Linked DNA regions of Callithrix jacchus. The protein of the gene in region 1 binds, or shares a complex with, the protein of each later gene. Links are inferred from orthologs where the notes say so. Each region holds a gene or a part of one and is shown on either strand. Other genes may lie near its edges.

Evidence for each region.
Region 2: TATA box-binding protein-associated factor RNA polymerase I subunit A (region 1) and TAF1D share a complex: the UniProt entries of both Homo sapiens proteins name them as parts of the transcription factor SL1/TIF-IB complex. The link is inferred for Callithrix jacchus from reciprocal best matches to the Homo sapiens genes TAF1A and TAF1D.

The regions. Positions count from the first base shown.
Region 1 is NC_133520.1:17,638,126-17,641,739, reverse strand, and holds the end of TATA box-binding protein-associated factor RNA polymerase I subunit A, read left to right. Parts: intron 1-2,529; coding exon 2,530-2,642; 3' UTR 2,643-2,981; downstream 2,982-3,614. UniProt on the Homo sapiens protein: Component of the transcription factor SL1/TIF-IB complex, which is involved in the assembly of the PIC (pre-initiation complex) during RNA polymerase I-dependent transcription.
Region 2 is NC_133511.1:46,622,015-46,626,571, reverse strand, and holds the start of TAF1D (TATA box-binding protein-associated factor RNA polymerase I subunit D), read right to left. Parts: upstream 2,937-4,557; 5' UTR 2,837-2,936; exon of another isoform or gene 2,726-2,836; intron 1,817-2,725; 5' UTR 1,712-1,816; intron 746-1,711; 5' UTR 721-745; coding exon 653-720; intron 1-652. UniProt on the Homo sapiens protein: Component of the transcription factor SL1/TIF-IB complex, which is involved in the assembly of the PIC (preinitiation complex) during RNA polymerase I-dependent transcription.

The DNA.
Region 1 (3,614 bases):
TTACTTTATTAAATGTGTGAAAATATTATTTATTGACCTCATTGTTCTTTAATAGCTCCATATTATACTAATATTTACTTACCTGTTCCTGAAAGCGTGAAACATTTCCTCCACTTAAGAGAATATAATACCTCCTACTAGCATATGAAAAAAATCCTCTTCAAAGAAAAGGGATATTGATTTTTTCTTCAAAGAAAAGGAATATTTTGGGTGGTAAAACTCTTACCTGCTTCGTATCACTGAAATATGAAAAGGTGGCCAGTACTGAAATGAAACTGCCACAAAGTGTGTGCAGAAATGAAGAAAGTAAATCTTCAGTGACCACTAGCAAGCAGTCCATTGCTGTGGAGTTTAAGGTTGCTGAAGAGATTCTCCAACTCACTTTTGAATATGGTTTCTATTATTTTGGAATTAGTAGTCTCAGTGAATGTAATAAAATTTGATTAAGAAGAAAATAAGCCAGGCGCAGTGGCGCGTACCTGTATTCGGGCTGCTGAGTTGGGAGGATCGCTTGAGTCCAGGAGTTCTGGGCTGTAGTGTGCTATGTTGATCGCATGTCCGCATAAGTTCGGCATCAATTTGGTGACCTCTCAGGAGCAGGGGACCACCAGGTTGCCTAAAGAGGGGTGAACCAGTCCAGGTCGGAAACGGAGCAGGTCAGAACTCCTGTGCTGATCAGTAGTGGGATTGCGCCTATGAATAGCCACTGCACTCCAGCCTCGGCAGCATAGCGAGACCACATCTCTAAAAAAAAAAAGAAAAAAATTCTCTAATACACTGATGACAAGGAACAGAAAGGTGATTTGGATTGTCATTTTCTCTACTTATGAGTAGAGAGGCAATCTAGCACAATTATCTAGAAGTCTCTGAGCAGAGTAGGAAGATCTGGGTTAATTTTGCAGTTCTCTCACTTGCTATGTAACTTAGTCAAGCAATTAGCTTTTAGGAGCTTTTTCTGTGAAGTGGGCATTGTAATACCCATCTTATTGTTGTAAGTATCATGTGAACATCGCATCAAAATGCTTCATAATTTCTAAAGTACTTTACAAATATCAGGTATCAGTTACTCCGGCAAGAGCCACATCTCCTCTCAAGCTGTTAGTATGGGGTTGAGTCAGTCTATTTATTAGTTAAGCTGGGTTTTCTTCTTGCTGTGGTTACCAACCTTACTTTATAGGATTCAAATTCTAGTCGTGGTCTGCCTTTGCTTCGTGCTTAGAGTGGGGTATGGTGGCTCTCTTTCTTCCTATGCCCTGCTAAAAGCAAGCTAGACTCATTTCTCCTTGGAGGGGCCTTTTCTTGTTGGGATTGAAACTACTTGGTTGCCCTGCGAGATTCCAGCTCTCCGGTGGACTCGAGAGTTAATATTTGAGGTTTATTAAGCTTTTTCTCTGTTGGGGTGGGAACCAAGTTATTCCCAGCTTTCTGTGTAGATAGAGGCAAAATTCTGTGTGCAAAGTATTTTGTTTTTTACTAAGGTGAGTATGATATGTTTAGAAACACAAATTATTTTAGTAATACTACAGACACCACTGCTTCTCAGCTAGTAAAACATTACCAATTCTGAGCTGGGTGCAGTGGCATGCAGTGCTCCTGTAATCCTAGCTGCTTGGGAAACTGAGGTGGGAGGATTGCTTGAGGCCAGGAGTTTTGAGACCAGAGTGTGCCACATAGTGAGACCCCATCTCAAGAAAAACAACAAAACAAAATATTAGCAATTCTGGCATACTAGTTTCCAGAATGATAAAAATGGTTACTATAGGTACAGTATATGTTCTTGCATTTTCTCGAGAAGATATTGCATACAAGCTGAAACTGTAGTGAAATTAATTTTTCACATGTGATTTATGGTCTTGTCCATCGACCAACTCTAAAAAAGAACTCATTATCCAGTTTACTTTTTCTTACAGAAATATGATTCATTTGTCTGAAGTATTTGACAAATACTTGACCGTTTTTTGTGTTGTAAGACTGTGAAGAGCAGGTGGAACTTCTAATGAGCATGAGGCACCTCTGTCAGAGATACATAGTCTCTACTTTGCTGCTTGCTACATGGCTAGAATGAGTAGATAATGTCTGACCATTTCTAACCTATGATTTGTTTATTCTAATCCTTCACACCAAGATTTTCTACAGAGAACTTTCTTACTGTTATAAATGTAACTTTGGCTGATTTATAAGCGAACATTGAGAAGGAATCTATACAAATGCACCTCTAGAGAAGGCTCATTTAATACGTGACTGTATATAATATGCCTGTCACCATCACTAGGGTGTAGGAGGAAGGCAGATAACAAATTAAAGTCTGTGCTTTAATTATGATAGATTAGAAACATCTTTGTATATAGGAGGACCTATATGTCATTGGACACAACTGAGAATATGCTTAGGCCATATTGGTGTAGATACTACAAATTTATTTTCATAATCATTAATGTGCCAAAGTTAAAGCAAAATTTTAAAACTGTAGAAATATACTTAAGAAAAAATGATGAGTATTAAAACATTTTACTTTGCTTTACTTTTTAGGTTGTAGATATTTTCGGTATATTTTAAAGCAAGATCACCAAATCTTAGGGAAGAAAATTAAGCGGATGAAGAGATCAGTGAAGAAATACAGTATTGTAAATCCAAGACTCTGATGCTGGATTTTAGTTTTTTCACAGTAGTAGCTACACAGTAAGCAGCTCAGTAGTTACTGAATGTATTTATGTAGTGTATTAAGAAGCTTATATGAGTCTAAAAAACTTATTTTTATATATTTTAATTTATTTATAGCTAGAGAAACAATATTACTGCCTTTGCTCTTTGTAAATATGTCTGTTTTCTTTTTTGTAATATTAAATGTTACATTTGTTAAGGAATAATTCTTGAAATTCAAAAATATTTAGAGAATATAGCTCTACAGCAGTTATTGTTTGCAAATAATTTTCCTCTGGCTATTGTGTAATAAAATACAACTTGTGGTACTGTAAAATAAATTGGCATTCTTTTTATTCTAATTAATCCATTTTAGGTATACCACCATGAAGAACTATATTGGTGATGAGTTCTGTTGAGGAATTTTGAAAAGAGAGAAGGATTTAGAAAAATACTTTTTCTCTTTCAGTATAAAGACTTGACAGTTTGGGGCAAAATATCCTCCTGCTAGAGAGAGACCTTTGACTCTAGAGGACTAGTTTGGGTCACAGCAGTGTAGAAGTCTGGCTTTTTTCAGCTGGCACTGGCCTAACTTTAAAGGGCTCTTGGCTTTTTTGGTGCCTGGCGCAGCAGTCTAAGACATGCTTAGAACTCACGTGTCCCCTCTCCTTTTTCTCTTTTTTAGCCAAAAGCTATAAAATAGGATTATGATTTATCTTGATCTCTAAGAAAATGGAGGTGAGGATAAAAGAAATGAGTAGATATGATTATTGGTTTTCATACAAAACTGTCTCTTAAAATGTTTACATCAGGCCAGGCACAGTGGCTCACCCCTGTAATCCCAGCACTTTGGGAGGCCGAGGCAGGTGGATCACAAGGTCGAGATCGAGACCATCCTGGTCAACATGGTGAAACCCCGTCTCTACTAAAAATACAAAAAATTAGCTGGGCATGGTGGCGCATGCCTGTAATCC
Region 2 (4,557 bases), on another chromosome or scaffold:
AACATGGTGAAACCCCGTCTCTACTAAAGATACAAAAAATTAGCTGGGCATGGTGGCACGTGCCTGTAATCCCAGATACTCAGGAGGCTGAGGCAGGAGAATTGCCTAAACCCAGGAGATGGAGGTTGCGGTGAGCCGAGATCGCACCATTGCACTCCAGCCTGGGTAACAAGAACGAAGCTCCATCTCAAAAAAAAATCATGTATCTTTCAAGATAATGTATGAGCTCAACCAAGACTGTATGATTCACTGCTAAAAACGCCTGAGTAAAAGAGAGCCTGCCAAAAATGAAAAAAAAAAAAAGATAAAACGAAAATAAAAAACAAAAAAAATACAAAAAAACACAGCCTGCCATACAAAAACAGGATGATGTAGTCCAGAAGAGACCCAAAGAATAAACTTTTTCTCTAAGAATGTGTCCCATTAGAATATATTCATTTTTTAAATTAAAATTATTTGCAATAGTATTATATCAATCTATATAAACTAGATAAACATGGAAGGTCAGTGAAATCTGGTTTTCCTTCTTTCCCAATTCCCGAAAATTATCTTCACTGTCATTCATTATATATAATAATTTAGTTTCTCAAAGTAATTCAGATATAATAAATATGACTGGATCTACTCAGTTCTCCAGTAAAAACCCACTTACCTTTGATTTGCAGGTTCCATAGCATCAGATGTCACATAGTCAAGAGAATCGATTCCTGATTTATCCATCAGTTGTTCTTTGTTTTAAAGTTTTCTGAAATTGTGAAATTTAGTAAATGTGACAAAGCTTCCCTAAATATTGACACGGTATCTACTATAATGTTCAACACAGTCAGACTATGCCATTCATTTTGGACAAAATCATTTACCAGGCTTAAGCTGCTTATCCACTTCAGATCAATTTCTATATAAAAAAAAAATCCAGAAATTCTATTTCCAGATTTTCAGTTTTTACCCTCTAAATCTATTCAATGAAACAAGATTCCAAAAAAGACAAGGTGGACAAAAGCCTCTTTCAATATGAAGTTTTATCATTAGCCACATATTAACATATAATTACCAACACAGTATTAATGTACAATTAAAAGCCATTTTCCTACATCGAAGGGGAATTGCTAAGGCAAAATGTGCCCTATATAATAAACCAGGAAAACGATCTCCATTCAATAGACCATTTTAAACTCCTGATCAAATTCAATAGACCATTTTAAATTCTAAGATTCCTCATTCATTCCTAGATTCATTTAAGTAACTTAATTTCGTCATACTGTATCTTTGCCATTATTGGTGGAAACTGACAAATTCTGAATTCTCAACCTTTTTCGATAAACTATCATAATTCTGTCTCTTCATCTCCATAGTAGAGTATACAACATACAAAAAAAAAAAAAGGCAACATACAAAAAAAAGAAAACGATTCCTTCTTGTAAGAAAAACAGGCTGGTCAGGATGGCTCATGCCTGTGTAACCCAGCACTTTGGGAAGTCGAGGCGGGCGGATCACTTGAACCCAGGAGCTCAAGACCAACAAGACCCAGTCTCTACAAAAAATACAAAAATTAGCCATGTTGATGGTACGCGCCTATGGTCCCAATAAGGAGGCTGAGGTATTGAGGTAGGTCGATTACCTGAGCCTGGGAGATGGAGGTTGTTTGTAGTGGGCCTCAGCAACACAAGGAGCCCCTGTCTCTATAAAAAAAAAAAATTCTTAAAATACTGGCCTGGTGTGGTGGCCTGTGGCTGTGCTCCCAGCCATGCCGGAGGATCGCTTTGCAGTGAGCCGAGATTGCACCAGTGCACTCCAGCCTGGACGACAGAGCAAGACCCTATCTCAAAAAAAAAAAAAAAAAAAATGGGGGAAAAAAATAGGCTTGGCAACAAAAATAAACAATAAAGGTAACTACTTATTTCACTACTGTCTTAGCCTTAGTCATTCTCTTGTTTCATTCCGTAGTTTCTTAGGACCCGACATGAGTCACTACATATAAATCCTAGGATAAACTAGCAAAATATTTCAAATATAGGAAAACGATAAGGTCACCAAGAGCTCAGATTTCTTAAATGCCCAACGGACCCCTGTGGTAATTTCCTGTTAGAACATCTTGTAGTTTTAGTTTCTTAAGCACAAGATTCTACGAAGTCATTAAGTATCGAATGCTCAAAAACCGAATTCAATAATTTGGTCCCATGCATTAATGGTATACCTGCTTTTTTTTTTTTTTAAATAGGGATTATCAAAAGAAAGCTAGCTCAATAATCACTTTCTCTAAGTTTTTCGGAACACATCCTACTTAGGTGTCGATGCCTCTGCCGGGATTTAGCGATTCCTAAGAGGTCTCGTGGTCAGAGAGCGGCGCTTTACCCGGAGCTATCACCGTTATCACCAGCGCGTCTCTCCCCGCAGCGCCTTACCTCAAGGAAACCGGCACTAGTAATGGCTGTCTCCCATATATGAAGGTTAAATCATTTAAACCACGTAAGGAAGTTAAACTCGTTCACAACACATTTTAACACCTCCATCTCAAGATATAATGAAGGCCGCCCACACTACAGTTGCGTTTGTGTGGGCCTCCAGCCGCTTGGCGCTGAGGGGCCTGAGCTGCGAACCCTTCACCCTCTCCGCCCTACCTCCGAGACTCGATCCTCCGGACCAACGCTGGGGCCCCGAAAAAACCCATATCTGTAACGCCTCACCCGGCTGCCAGGGCCGGACGGCCTTGCCCACGTCTACCTACCCAAAACCGCCTCACGCCGGCCCTAACTGCGCACTTGGTGACTGTAACCCAGGCTTCTGGCCAAAAACCCGCGACTGGCCTGCTGCGTGAGTCCTGAAGACCTGCACTCACCAATATCCCGACCTCAGTTCTCCAACTCCCGAGAACCACCTTGCGTCTTCCAACCGCGCAGAAAAAAAGGGTGAGCAATCCCCGCGGCCCAGGTAATAGCGAGGCCGAAATCTCGCGATACAACTTAGCACCCGGGAAGAAGGCGAGCGACGGAAGGAGGACAGGAAGCAGGATAGCCATTTTTCTCGCCGCGCGGGGAGGAGCGGCTAACGTAGGCGGAGCTTCAGCTCGCGTTATCTGAGGAGGCGGGGTTGGCCGAAGCGAAGATCAGGACTCTGCTCTGTTGTGGGTTTCCGTGACCGATTCGGTGAGTGGAAGAGCCAAGAACATTTCGGCAAATAACAAAAAGAAAACATGAGGACAATTAGGAGTGGGTAAGAACTGCGAGAAGCCCGGTTTGTTTCCGGTGGCTCGCATTTGCTGAGCTGTCGCCTGGCTTTCTAAACCTGGTCCCGGGTGTGTGGCGAGGGTGGCGGGTGGGATATGTGCGTGTTTGGGTCTGCTTTTGCCTTCAGACACCTTTGTGTGTTAAAATACTGGGAAGGCTCATCCTTTGACCATGACTCCAGGTGTGTAACTTTTGGGCTGGACGCCAGTGTTACTCCATAGCACGCCCACTTTTGCACCTGTTTCGTGACCTCCCCTTTCTGCCTCCCGGAAGTTGGCTAACAAGTCACAAACGAGACCAGTAGAGGATTTCTTTTTCCTGAGGTTCCTTCTGCTCCCGCTCACCCCTAGTTCCTAAACCGGTTCCTGAGTAGTTTCGTGGGTTTTTTTTCCCTCCCAAAGTAATTTTAATGAACTGGTTTGATTTTTCTGCTTTCAAATCTTTTTTTCCTATGATAAACCAGTAAAGCCATTAGAGCTGTCTAGTCTTAATTTACAGTGCACGTCATTTTAGGATTGGACGGGCCTTAAAAGTAATCTGGTCTCTTTACCCTACTTTGTGCCATAAGTTGGACAATTCCAGGTATAAAAAGTCCAATCCCTTAGGGAGTCCTCTGCATTTGATCCACAGGGTCTGTGCCGTGACTAAGCTCCAGGACTGGTATGACATGTCACTCACTGCTGTACTCAACCAAGCCTAGCTGTAACATTTAACTCACAATGCAGAATCACTGAAATGTTTCACATTTTGTCTTTCTTTCTTTCCTTTTCTCCTTCCCTCCCTTCCTCCCTCCCTCCCACGCGCGCTCTCTCTCTCTTTCTTTCTTTCCCTTTTTTTTGAGACAGAGTCTAGCTCTGTGGCCTAGGCTTGAGGGCAGTGGCGGGCTCTCAGTTCACTGCAACCCGCCTCCCCAGGTCAAGAGGTCCATCCACCTCAGCCTCCCAAGTAGCTGTGACTGCAGGCATCCACCACCACACACGGCTAATTTTTGTACTTTTAGTAGAGACCAGGTTTCACCGTGTTGGCCAGGCTGGTCTTGAACTCCTGACCTCAAGTGATCCACCCGCCTCAACCTCCCAAAGAGCTGGGAATACAGGCATGAGCCACCGTGCCCGACCACATTTTGTATTTGTTTGTTTTACAAAGATAGAGTCTTGCCGCCTGTAATCCCAGCACTTTGGGAGGCCGAGGCGGGTGGATCACGAGGTCAAGATATCGAGACCATCCTGGTCAACATGGTGAAACCCGTCTCTACTAAAAATACAAAAATTAGCTGGGCATGGTGGCGCGTGCCTGTAATCCCAGCTACTCAGGAGGCTGAGGCAGGAGAATT